Macaca fascicularis: one gene and its partners. Each later gene encodes a partner of the first gene's protein in a complex. Links are inferred from orthologs where the notes say so. Each region holds a gene or a part of one and is shown on either strand. Other genes may lie near its edges.

What was found.
Region 2: AAR2 (region 1) and CD2BP2 share a complex: the UniProt entries of both Homo sapiens proteins name them as parts of the U5 snRNP complex. The link is inferred for Macaca fascicularis from reciprocal best matches to the Homo sapiens genes AAR2 and CD2BP2.
Region 3: AAR2 (region 1) and PRPF8 share a complex: the UniProt entries of both Homo sapiens proteins name them as parts of the U5 snRNP complex. The link is inferred for Macaca fascicularis from reciprocal best matches to the Homo sapiens genes AAR2 and PRPF8.

The regions. Positions count from the first base shown.
Region 1 is NC_088384.1:92,338,995-92,342,740, reverse strand, and holds the end of AAR2 (protein AAR2 homolog), read right to left. Parts: intron 1,368-3,746; coding exon 1,200-1,367; 3' UTR 12-1,199; downstream 1-11. UniProt on the Homo sapiens protein: Component of the U5 snRNP complex that is required for spliceosome assembly and for pre-mRNA splicing.
Region 2 is NC_088394.1:28,493,725-28,497,470, forward strand, and holds the start of CD2BP2 (CD2 antigen cytoplasmic tail-binding protein 2), read right to left. Parts: upstream 2,768-3,746; 5' UTR 2,698-2,767; intron 2,191-2,697; 5' UTR 2,165-2,190; coding exon 2,087-2,164; intron 1,807-2,086; coding exon 1,671-1,806; intron 1,546-1,670; coding exon 1,388-1,545; intron 1,288-1,387; coding exon 852-1,287; intron 772-851; coding exon 665-771; intron 599-664; coding exon of another isoform or gene 580-598; coding exon 469-579; 3' UTR 1-468. UniProt on the Homo sapiens protein: Involved in pre-mRNA splicing as component of the U5 snRNP complex that is involved in spliceosome assembly.
Region 3 is NC_088390.1:1,771,836-1,775,481, forward strand, and holds the end of PRPF8 (pre-mRNA-processing-splicing factor 8), read right to left. Parts: coding exon 3,528-3,646; intron 3,433-3,527; coding exon 3,291-3,432; intron 1,259-3,290; coding exon 1,118-1,258; intron 1,019-1,117; coding exon 879-1,018; intron 776-878; coding exon 573-775; intron 422-572; coding exon 267-421; 3' UTR 93-266; downstream 1-92. UniProt on the Homo sapiens protein: Plays a role in pre-mRNA splicing as core component of precatalytic, catalytic and postcatalytic spliceosomal complexes, both of the predominant U2-type spliceosome and the minor U12-type spliceosome.

The DNA of each region.
Region 1 (3,746 bases):
ACACAAGGGGATTCTGTCTCAACTCGAAGACTTTAATGTACATTATGCTCTTGGAAAAACATCTCCAAGGAAACAAGTGGAAGCAAAAGTCTTAACCAGCAGGGATTCTCATTCAAAAACCTGGTGTGAGCCCCAGCCTTGGAAAAGGATGGCACAGGGACTGTGATCATAGTACAGCAGTTTGATGTCAGGGTGGCAGGGCCTGTGTACTTGTCTAGAGAGGAACCCTGCCACACAGCACGAAAGGCGTGCCCCCAGGACTCCCAAGGAACCAGGAGCTTATTATTCCAGTGACTGACAGCTCCACAGCAGGACTGGGAAGATTTAGGCTGACCAGGTCTTCCTCAGCACTTGGAAGGCACAAAACTTCCTAAGGGCCTTAAGAAGCCTGCCCTGGGCAGAAACCTTTCTGGTTGTTGTTGACGCTCCAGGTCATCAGAAACAGTGACGGTGGCTCTGGTGAGGAAGGGGAGGGTCCCACTTCTGGGTGAGGCCTCAGGATGGAGCAGGTGGGAGGTAACAGCACCAGCAAGGCCCCTGAGGTCAGGGGCCACACCCACCTTGGGAGATGACCCACTGGGCCTCTGGACATGAGAATGGGATTTTGATGGAGAAAGCTGAAGCTGACCACCTGCCAGGTTGAATCCAGCTGCCTCCCTTGACACTCTCTTCCCAATCAAGGGCTTCCAAGAAGCCGCAGGCCCAAGTCCTCTGCTCCCATTCAGCAAGAGGCAGGCTCATTTCCCCATCACCCTGCATTTAACTGCAAAAAAAGTCACCAACCGACCTCTCAGACCCCCTGGGCAATCCAGGGTTTCTCGTTTTCTAAGCTCCTATGGAACAAGCAATCAGTTCTTTCTAGGACTTTTGGTTCAATTCCTTCTCACTCAGAGGGAATCTGGTTGCCATGTAGGCAGGTCTCCCCTAGGAGTTTCTGTAAGAGCCTGTGTGAAATTCAGCCAGGTTAGCACCAAGGCCCAGCTGATGGGGAACGTACAAATGTGCCTTCAGGATGGGTACAGCCTCTTTGGCAATGAAGAAACATATTTATCAGTGAAAAAGGGAATTCTGGCTCCATCTTTGTGGGATCTGGAGAGATTGCTGCCCTCACAGGTCCCAGGATAGGAAGAAGTAAATGGAGAGGCCAGGACTGCAGCCCTGTGGCAAGGGGCCCCTCGCAGCTGAGAGCGCTGCCCGAGTTAGCCCATCTCGGTGCCCTCAGGGAGCTCCACCACCACAGGGGCACAGTCCTCAGGTTCTGCAGCAAAGTCCCACCGGAACTTCTTGGTCAGGTGAGCTTGGAACTTTTCAGCTTTCTTCCTCAGGGTGGCATCCACGGCAATGCTGCAGGCAGAGGAAAAGAAAACCTACAGAGAACAGAGGATAAGTCACTCCTGAGAAGACGGGGGGCGAGCGCGAGAAAGCTGTGGAAATTTCCTCATGGTGTTCAGCTCTCTGGGGCGGGTGGATCAGCTGCCACTGGCATAGGCCCAGGACACCTGCTGTGCTCCCCCCAAACCAAGCAAGAAGGTCCAAACCCAGCTGAGATGCTAGGGCAGGACTAGAATGGAAAATTACTATCTGGGCAGAGATGCCCCACTGTTAAGGCTGGGGCCATGACTCCGGCCCCACCCCCTGGGGGGTTCTACTGGACACCTGGGGCAGTATCCCAGAGGAACAGGTAGTAGCTACACCAGTTGGTACTAAGGTCCTAAGAAAGGCTTGGGGGTGCTTATAAGCCCCTGGACCCCATAAAGTCCTAGGCGCCAAGCCAACAAGACTGAATTGCTGCTCTAATCTTCTAAATGGGCCACAGGCTGCCAGTTTGAGGCTTCTATCCCCCTTAAAAGCTGTCTTTGATTTTTTTTTATTGTGGTAAAATATACAGATGGACCCTGACTTACGATGGTTCAATTTACGACACTTCGACTTTATGATGATGCAAAGTGATACACATTCAGAAGAAGCCACACTTTGAATTGTTTCTTTCAGTACAGTATTAAAGAAATTACATGAGATATTCAATACTTCATTATAAAATAGGCTTTGTGTTAAATGGTTTTGCACAACTGTAGGCTAGTGTTAGTGTTCTGAGCACGTTTGAGGTGGGCGAGGCTGAGCTGCAATGTTAGGGACATTAGGTGTAATCAATGCATTTTTGACTTACAGTATATCTGACTTTACAGTTTATTAAGACATAACCCCATGGGAAGCTGAGGAGCATTTGTACATAAGATCTACCACTTCAACCATTTTTAAATATTTTTTTTTAAATTGTGGCAAAATATACATATTACTTTTAGCCATTTTAAGTGTACAGTTGAGTAGCATTAAGTACATTAACATTGCTGTACAACCATCATCACCATCCATCTCCAGAATGACCCCATCATCCCCAACCAAAACTCAGCAGCCGTTGAACAGCAACTGCCCCTCCCTCTCCCTCCAGGCCCTGGCAACCCACATCCTACTTTCCATCTCTATGAATTCGACTACCCTATCCCCCTTCCCTCCTCCCACCAGGCCCTGGCAACCCACATTCTACTTTCCGTCTCTATGAATCTGTAGGCACCTCATCTAAGTGGAATCATACAGCATTTGTCCTTTTGCAACTGGCTCATTTCACTTAGCATAATATCCTTCAAGGTTCATTAATGATGCAGCATGTGTCAGAATTTCCTTTCTTTTGAAGGCTGAATGTTGTACGCAGATACCACATTTTGTTTGTCTATTCATCTGTCAATGTCCATTTGTGTTGTTTTTACCTTCTGGCTATTGTGAATAATGCTGCTATGAACATATCTCTTAGGGTCTCTGCTTTCAATTCTTTTGCACAGAAACCCAGGAGTGGAGCTGTTGGATCAGACGGGAACTCCCTGTTTAAACTGTGATGAACTGCCACACTGTTTTTCACAGGGGCCTTACCATTTTATATTCCCACCAGCAATGCACAAATGTTCTCATTTCTCCACATCCTGGCCAACGCCTGTTATTTTCTGTGTGTGTTTAAATCATAGCCATTCTAATAGGTGGGAGGTAGTATCTTACTGTAGTTTTGATTTGCATTTCTCTAATGATCAGTGGATATTGAGTATGTTTTCATGTGCACATTGGCCATTCTGTATCTTCTTTGGTGAAATGTCCATTCAACTTCCTTGTCAATTTTTAAATTGGGTTGTTTTTGCATTGTTGAGTTGTAGGAGTTCTTTCTATATTCTATTAACCCCTTATTCTGATGCTCTCATGAACAGTTTCATTTAATACAAACAGGGGCAGGGGAGCAGAATGGTAATTTTTTCCACATCTGAAACCCCATTCCAGATTGTCCGGGATCCCAGCCCCTTCCTAAGAGTAACAGCAAACCCATGATTCCTTCTTATATTGTTTTACTGTTTTCAAAGAAGTTTCACAGAGCATCCAACTGGATCCTCCCAACACCCTGGGAAGATACAACAGAATGCCTATTTTAAGGAAATGGAAGCTGAGAGGAGTTAAATGACTGAATACAAATTACCCAGAAAGGAAGAAGTGTTTTTTCCCAGACTACCATCTGCTACCCTACAGGCCCACCCAGAGACACAGGGGTGTGACGGTGGAAGAAGCTCTTTGATCCACATCACCCTCATGCCACAGTTGGCTTTCAGGCCACCATGGAAAGATGCTGGGCCCCAGGAGACCTGACCCAACAAAGGCAACAGGCGTACTCTGCAGCTGATTCCAGAGGCAATATTCCTCCCACCCGCTTC
Region 2 (3,746 bases), on another chromosome or scaffold:
AATGTCTTCTCCATGCCCCGGTCCTTCCAGGCCTAAAAGCTCCACTTCTGGGGCTCCATCCCCTGGTGGCTACAAGGACAAAGAATCTGACATCCTGAAAGCCAAAGACCTAAGGGGAATCAAACAAGAAACCTCAGAGAGGAACACAAAGTAGCGCAGTTGGGGGTGTTTACACAGCAAGCAGAGTCCAGGCAGTGAGGCCACAGGACACCTGACAGGCACCTCCAAAGAAGATCTTCATGGGAGCAAACACTCAGGGACCAAGGCAAGTCCAAAGTGGCTGTGGAGAAGGCCCCTGGCTTCTGGCCGTCAGCACAGCCAAGGCCCCAATACACAACTAAAGGCTTTTATTGGGAAAGGGAAATTGACTGAAAAATGGCCTCCAATTTCCTCACTGCCTGAGACACTTGGTGCCTTCTCCACAAAGTCCAGGAAAGAATGACCCACCAAACTGGGCCCCCAGCAGGCTCAGGTGTAGAGCTCAAAGTCAATGCGTTTGGAGTTGTAGAACTGACCACCAGGGGGGTCCAGCTTCCGGCAATAAACACCGTCCGGGAAGTAGCCTTCACTCACCCAGGTCTGCAAGGAGAGGGCAGAGCTGGGGAAGGACTGACAGGAGTAGGGGAAGCAGGGACAAGCCAGAAGGAGGGAGAAAGCAGCTCACCTGCATCTGGGCGCTGGTGAAGGGCCCATACAGCTCGGCATCCCCCGTGTTCTCCCACTTATATTCCCACATCACATCCACCAGACCATCTCCTGGCGACTCTGCTTCTAAAATAACAGGCAAAGCCATTTGACCTCCGGTGTCTCACTTCCCGCCCACTGCCCCCTCCTCTGTCCTCCAAGCTTACCTCCTCTCTGGGTAGGGGTTGGGGTCTCCAGTTCCTCCTCTGCCACTTCCTCAGCGAACATGTCCAGGGAGGGTGGGGGTGTGGGATTGTGGGGTCCCACGGTCTGACACCCCAAACCCTTCAGCCGCATAGCCAACCGTTCCCTTGTTTCCTGGTACACGCCAAGGTTGCCCCGGGCCACCATCTGGTCGGCCAACCCGGAGAGCCGGTCCAGGCGCTGAGGGGAACTGGGACGCCCAGGCCCCTTGCTGCTCCCTTTGCCTCCTCCTCGGGCCCCTAGACGCCTCAGTGCCCCAGCCACTGTCTCTCTAGGCAACAGAAGCTCCAAAAGTCCCTCCAAGAGGGCTTGGGCACTCATTGGGGTCTGGCCCAAGCTGTCTTCCTCCTCCGAGTCTGAGGCCTGGTGCTGGCCAGGTGGCCGCTCCCGGATCTTCACCTGTCATGGAAAGATGCAGTGATTTCCCACGAACTGCCATGGGAGCAGGCCTAGCATCCGCCACTCCCCGGCCCCAGCCACACCAGCCCCTGGGCCTCACCCAGTCAATGTTGTCCAGCCAGCTGTCTCGGATCTGAGCATCCCGGTTCAGGAAGTAGTTGCCATCAGCATCAAAGTGTCCTTCCTCCATCTCCTCCTGCAGGTTAAAGGGTGTGATCCGAACACCCCCCTCGCTGGGGAGTGTGGCTGCCTCCTGACCTGTACCAAAGACACAGGTGCCCTTTTCTAGGCATGGAAAAGAGAGACTGGAGCCTCCCTCACTCCACACCACCAGAGGCCCCTACTTGTTTCTCCAGCAGAGTGTATTCTTGGGTACAGCTCACCTTCTACATCCTCTGAGGCCAGGATGTCGTATTTGCTGGACCCCCCATCATCATCATCCTCCTCATCGCTATCCAAAGAGTGTTTGCCTTTGAAGCGGCTCCCAGGACCCCCTGACCCAGCCACAGGGTCCACCAGCTGTGAGCAGGAGTCAAGTCAAGAAATGCAGGTTACTGGCTACCTCCCCAAATACTTCCGGATCTGGACCCAAATATTCCCCAAATATTTCAGGATCTCGACTACTTCCCCAAATATTTTAGGACCCACACTGAAGATGCTCCCAACCCATTCTTCAGAGAACCTGAAAAAACTAGGCTTTTCTCTGCCTGCCCGCCCCGCCCCACTCCCGCCAGCTTTCTTTCTCCTCAGGCTTCTAGCTCCTCTCTTTCCCCCACACAAAGGAGTCTGGCCCCCTCACCTTCTTCTTGGGGACACTGATTTCATCCTCATCTTCCTCATCTCCCACGCCTTGGAAGGTCACTTTCCTCTTTGGCATGACGGGGCAGAGAGGTGTTTCTCAAGCTGAGGAAAGGATACAGAGAAAGAGAATGGGGTGAGGAGGGGACTCGCCACCAGAGGACCCAGCACAGCAAATATTTTTCCTGGTCTGTGACAGGTACAGTTTGGGAGCGGAGGGAGCACAAAAGCAAGGGCTGAAGAGAAGCTGGCAGCCAGGAGGCCTGCAGGACTTGGGTCTAGCATCCGCGAGTTAAATGGGGTGGGGACGGAGGAGCGGACCCTCTGGATCCCCTGACCCTGGCCAACAGGGAACAGACTTCACCACGTGACCGCTCCCAACTCCAGCCCCCGCAGTCTGGGCGCCACCGGCTCGACCGGCTGACCCCCGCCTCCTACTCTGGCTCTCTCGGAGCTCGCGGGGCCCGGGCAGACCCAGGACCTGGCGCTCTCGCCACCCCGTTCCTCCCTGCTCCGAACTCCCAATTCCGTGTGGTGAGCCCCAACTGTCCCGGGCTGTGTACAAATTAGAGGGCCACGGGGATCCGGGCTGTCCCACCCTCGCGCGCTCACCTGGGACTCCGCGGGAGGCGAGGTGGCGAAAAGAAGAGATGCTTGCGCCAAGGCTACATCCGGGGCACCCGGCCGCCATCACCCGGAAGAGGACTGTGGAAGGCGCCTGGGAAGCCCGGAAGTGGCTTCACTCGGGTTAGGGAACTAACTGGAAGAGCGGGCGGAAGTACGCGGTGAGCGAGGGAAGACGCCTCCACCCTCTCTCCCGCAAGAAGTGACGTCAGTCGCGTGGGAGGACAATGGCGAGAAGAGGGGACCTGTGAATGCCTACACTCTGACCGGGCGTGAGAAATGGCCGGAAGTACCTTCGATTCCCTCATTCAAGCAGTAGAGGCTCTGGAGAAAAACGAGAGCATCTACTTAAAGGGTCGCCCAGGGTCAGGATGGAGGGGCAAAGTCCGAGCAGGGCCAGTGGGTCGCTGCCCCGTTTTCCTGTGCTGGGTTCGAGTCACCCTTCCACCAGGGCTGAGGGCTCAGCGCCCCTACCGTCTCGTTAGAAATCCTGCCTTCCCACTCCTGTGGTCCGGTGGTAAGCTCTCCTATCTGAGAGGTGGAGCCTTGCCCTCCCCGAGGGGAAGCCTGGCTCTCCCGATGGCCAGCCCGGGGCCCCTGGACGGCTCTCGGGGCACTTTCTGGACACAGCTCCCTTTAGGACCCAGGGGAAGTCATTTGTCCCACGCCCATACCCTGGGCGAGTTCCTGGCTTCTGAGGTGGGAGAGCCATCACTGGAGAGGTGGCATTGGCACCAGTACCCAGGCCAGAAGTCCCTGTGCCCTGCTCTCAGATAGGCCTGGAAAAGGGCAACAGTGCCTCTCTGTAGCATGAAGCCCCTCTGAGCAAACAGGGCCTAGCACCACGGCCTGGAAAAGGGCAACAGTGCCTCTCTGTAGCATGAAGCTCCTCTGAGCAAACAGGGCCTAGCAACTCGTGCCCAGGTAACAGAATGTGGCCCAAGCAGAAGCGGGACTGGGGGAGGTGGCGGGGGGTCAGCCCCTGTACTGGAACCTCTAGCTCTTGAGGACACTCGGAGCCTGCATCCCCCTAAGCA
Region 3 (3,646 bases), on another chromosome or scaffold:
GGAGCCCTGTTAACTTTGGCTGTTTCCTTCTCCTGTTAGACCTAAATCCAGAATTTGGGTTCGGGGGGAAAAAAAACAAACAGCCCCTGAACTCCTATTTATACAAAATTTATTATTATATTTTATTCAGGATGACAAGCCATCAGGAGGTCAACAACACAACAAGCACAGACAGAGGGAGAGGCCAAGCTGCTGAATGTCAGCGGCCTGTCTGGAGGGGCTGAGGCTCCGGCCTCAGGAGGCTGAAGCTGGAGGCAGGGAAACAGCTAGGCATAGAGGTCCTCCCGGTCCGCAGAGTAAACCTCCCCCTCCTGCAGGAGGGCGAAGTTGAGGAAGTGGGAAGGCCTGTGCACCTCGTGGTAGAACTCTTTGGGGTTCGCCAGCTGCAGCTCGTATTTCATGTTGGGGTCATGCCGAACACCTTCGGGGAGAAGGAAACAGCCAGCGTCAACAGGGCTCCCGCCTCATGCAGCCGGCACCACCTCCAAGCCAGCCAGGCCCCAAGTGTGACAGGCGATGGCCTCACCTTATCACTACTGCTATCCCCACGTCCCCAGGCTCCTCCCACTTACCCATAAAGTTGTAGTTCCACGAGGACTGGGCAGGGACCATGAAGAAGCCAAGGAAGCGGTCCGACAGCAACATCTGGACCCTCTCATAGTGTGAAGGCAGGTAGCCCTTGGGGTTGTTGCCCTTGTCTGTGTTCTGGCGGCCCCATTCGTAGCCGCTGGGGGTCAGCTTGTAGGCCGTCAGTGTACAGGAGCCTGGTGTGAAGCTGGGGGAGGGACGAGGACGGAGTAACAGCTCAGGTCACTATTCTGGGCCCTGGCCTGCAATCCCTGCCCCACCATACTTCCTCCCAAGGAGCCCAGGCCCACCTGCACGTGATGATAATGGTCTTCTCGCCATCCCAAGATGGGTTGTCAGCCATGATCTTGGCATGGGTGGTGACATCCTGGGGTGATAATTGCGGGGACTCATTGGGCTGAGTGTGGATCCAACCTAAGGGTTCCATCTCCTATAGGTAAAGAGGAGTACAGAGCTCTTCAGAATCCCATCTGCAGACAGGAATCGCACCAGCTTTTCCACATTCCCAGGCTCCATCACTTTCCATTACCTTGAGGTACTCATGCTGGGGCAGCTGGCCAGGCAGGTGCACGGTCTGGTGAGTGCCCCACTGTGGCACCATCACGATGCAGCGTATCTCCTTCACCTGGGGGTTATCTGGTGGGCTCACCCCATACAGGTATCCTGCAATCTGGAGACAAAGGGGTCAGGAACCAAAACTCTTCTTAGTACCAGCTCAGAGGTGGAGCTGCCAGCCCTGTTTTCCTTCCTTCCCCCAAGAACGAGGACAGTTTCTTAAAACATGATCAGAACCCCTGTATCAGAATCAGCTGCGGTGCTTGTTCAAAATGTTAAACATGGACCTCATTTCAGACTTCCCACATCAGGACCTCCTGCGTGGGGTCCAGGAATCTGCACTGCTCACAAGCTCCCCAGCTGATTATTAAGGATAGCATTCATAAGCAAATGAGCATACAAACCTCCAGCTCAGTGTATTTTCACAAACTGAGAACATCTGGAAATCCAGCACTTGGTGCTATTTTAAATTTTACATTATCACCAAGTAAGAGGATCTGTTTACTATAAACTCACCCACACAGGATATTAACAGTCTTCTCAAATTTGCCAACCTGACAGCCACTAATAGTGGGTTTTTTTTTTTTGAGGCGGAGTCTCGCTCTGTCGCCCAGGCTGGAGTGCAGTGGCGCGATCTCGGCTCACTGCAAGCTCCACCTCCCGGGTTCCCGCCATTCTCCTGCCTCAGCCTCCCGAGTAGCTGGGACTACAGGCGCCGCCACCACGCCCAGCTAATTTTTTGTATTTTTAGTAGAGACGGGGTTTCACTGTATTAGCCAGGATGGTCTCGATCTCCTGACCTCGTGATCCACCCGTCTCGGCCTCCCAAAGTGCTGGGATTACAGGCTTGAGCCACCGCGCCCGGCAATAGTGGGTTTTTTTGAGATGGAGTCTCACTCTGTTGGCAAGGCTGGAGCGCAGTGGTGTGATCTCAGCTCACTACAACCTCCACCTCCTGGGTTCAAGCAATTCTGCGTCAGCCTCCTGAGTAGCTGGGACTACAGGCACATGCCACCACGCCCCACTAATTTTCATATATTTCATAGAGACAGGGTTCTGCCATGTTGGCCACGCTGGTCTTGAACTCCTGACCTCAAGTGATCCACCGGCCTCGGCCCAAAATGATCTTTTATAAACTATGAATATCCCTGATACACTAGTAAAGTTATGCATCTTTTTTCTTTTTTGAAGCAGGGTATCACTCTGTCACCCAGGTTAGCATGCAGTGACATGATCTCAGCTCACTACACTCACCACTCTCCAGGATCAGGTGATCTTCCCACCTCAGGCTCCTGAGTAGCTGAGATTACAGGTGTGGGCCACCATGCCTAGCTAGTTTCTTAATTTTTTTGTAGAGACAGCATTTCGTCATGTTGCCCAGGCTGGTCTCGAACTCCTGGGCTCAAAAGATCTGCCCACTTCAGCCTCCCACAATGCTGGGATTAGTCATGAGCCAGTGCGCCCCGCCTGGAGTGCAGTGGTCATCAAAGCTCACTGCTTTGGTTCAAGCAACCTCAGCCTCCTGAGTAGATGGGACTACAGGCAAAGGTTTTTTGTTTTGTTTTTTTAGATGGAGTCTTCCTCTGTTGCCTAGACTGGAGTGCAGTGACGCGATCTTGGCTCACTGCAATCTCCCCCACCTGGGTTCAAGCAATTCTCCTGTCTCAGCCTCCCTAGTAGCTGCAACTACAGGCGCATGCCACCATGCCTGGCTAATTTTTTGCATTTTTAGTAGAGACGGGGTTTCACCATATTGGTCAGGCTGGTCTTGAGCTCCTGACCTCAGGTGATCCACCACCTCGGCCTCCCAAAGTGCTGGGATTACAGGCATTAGCCACTGTGCCCAGCCTAGTGTTGGGATTACAGGCGTGAACCACCATGCACATCTGGTCAGGAATTTGTTTCTGACCATATCTATTCTCTTCCAAATACTATCAGGTTAATACTACATTTACTACCTTCTCTCAGCTGCCACAGCTTTTGCTATCTCATGGGGCCAAAACCCGCCTCGTTGTTTTGGCTATCCTTGCATAATTACTCATCCATGAATCTTGAAACCAGCATCTCAAGTTCTAGACAATCTCAGGTCGGTGTTTTAGGCACAAAATGTGTTGGGCACACACTGTGGCCTGAGTCCACTTACTCACTTGGGCCCGAAGGTCAGATATGCAGATGAACTTCTTAAGCACATTCTTGGGAAGGATGTAGGTGTAGCCAGTCTCCTTGATGTCGTCAGATGAAACATAGATGTGATTGGTCCTTAGGTGCAGGTTGGCAGCAGAGATGGCCCTAAAAACGTGTAGGGAGTGTCAGCATCGCTCAGCCCAGCACCTTAGGTAGTGCAGCCGGCCTTTCCATCCCCACCCTCTTGCCCCTCACAGTACCTGACCCTCCACTCAGTCTTGGATGAGAAAGTCTGGGTCTCATAGTTGCTGGTGGTGGAGGTGATGATCTCATCGCCATGCTTGTTGACAGTGCGAGTCTGTGTTGCCGTGAGCTGCGA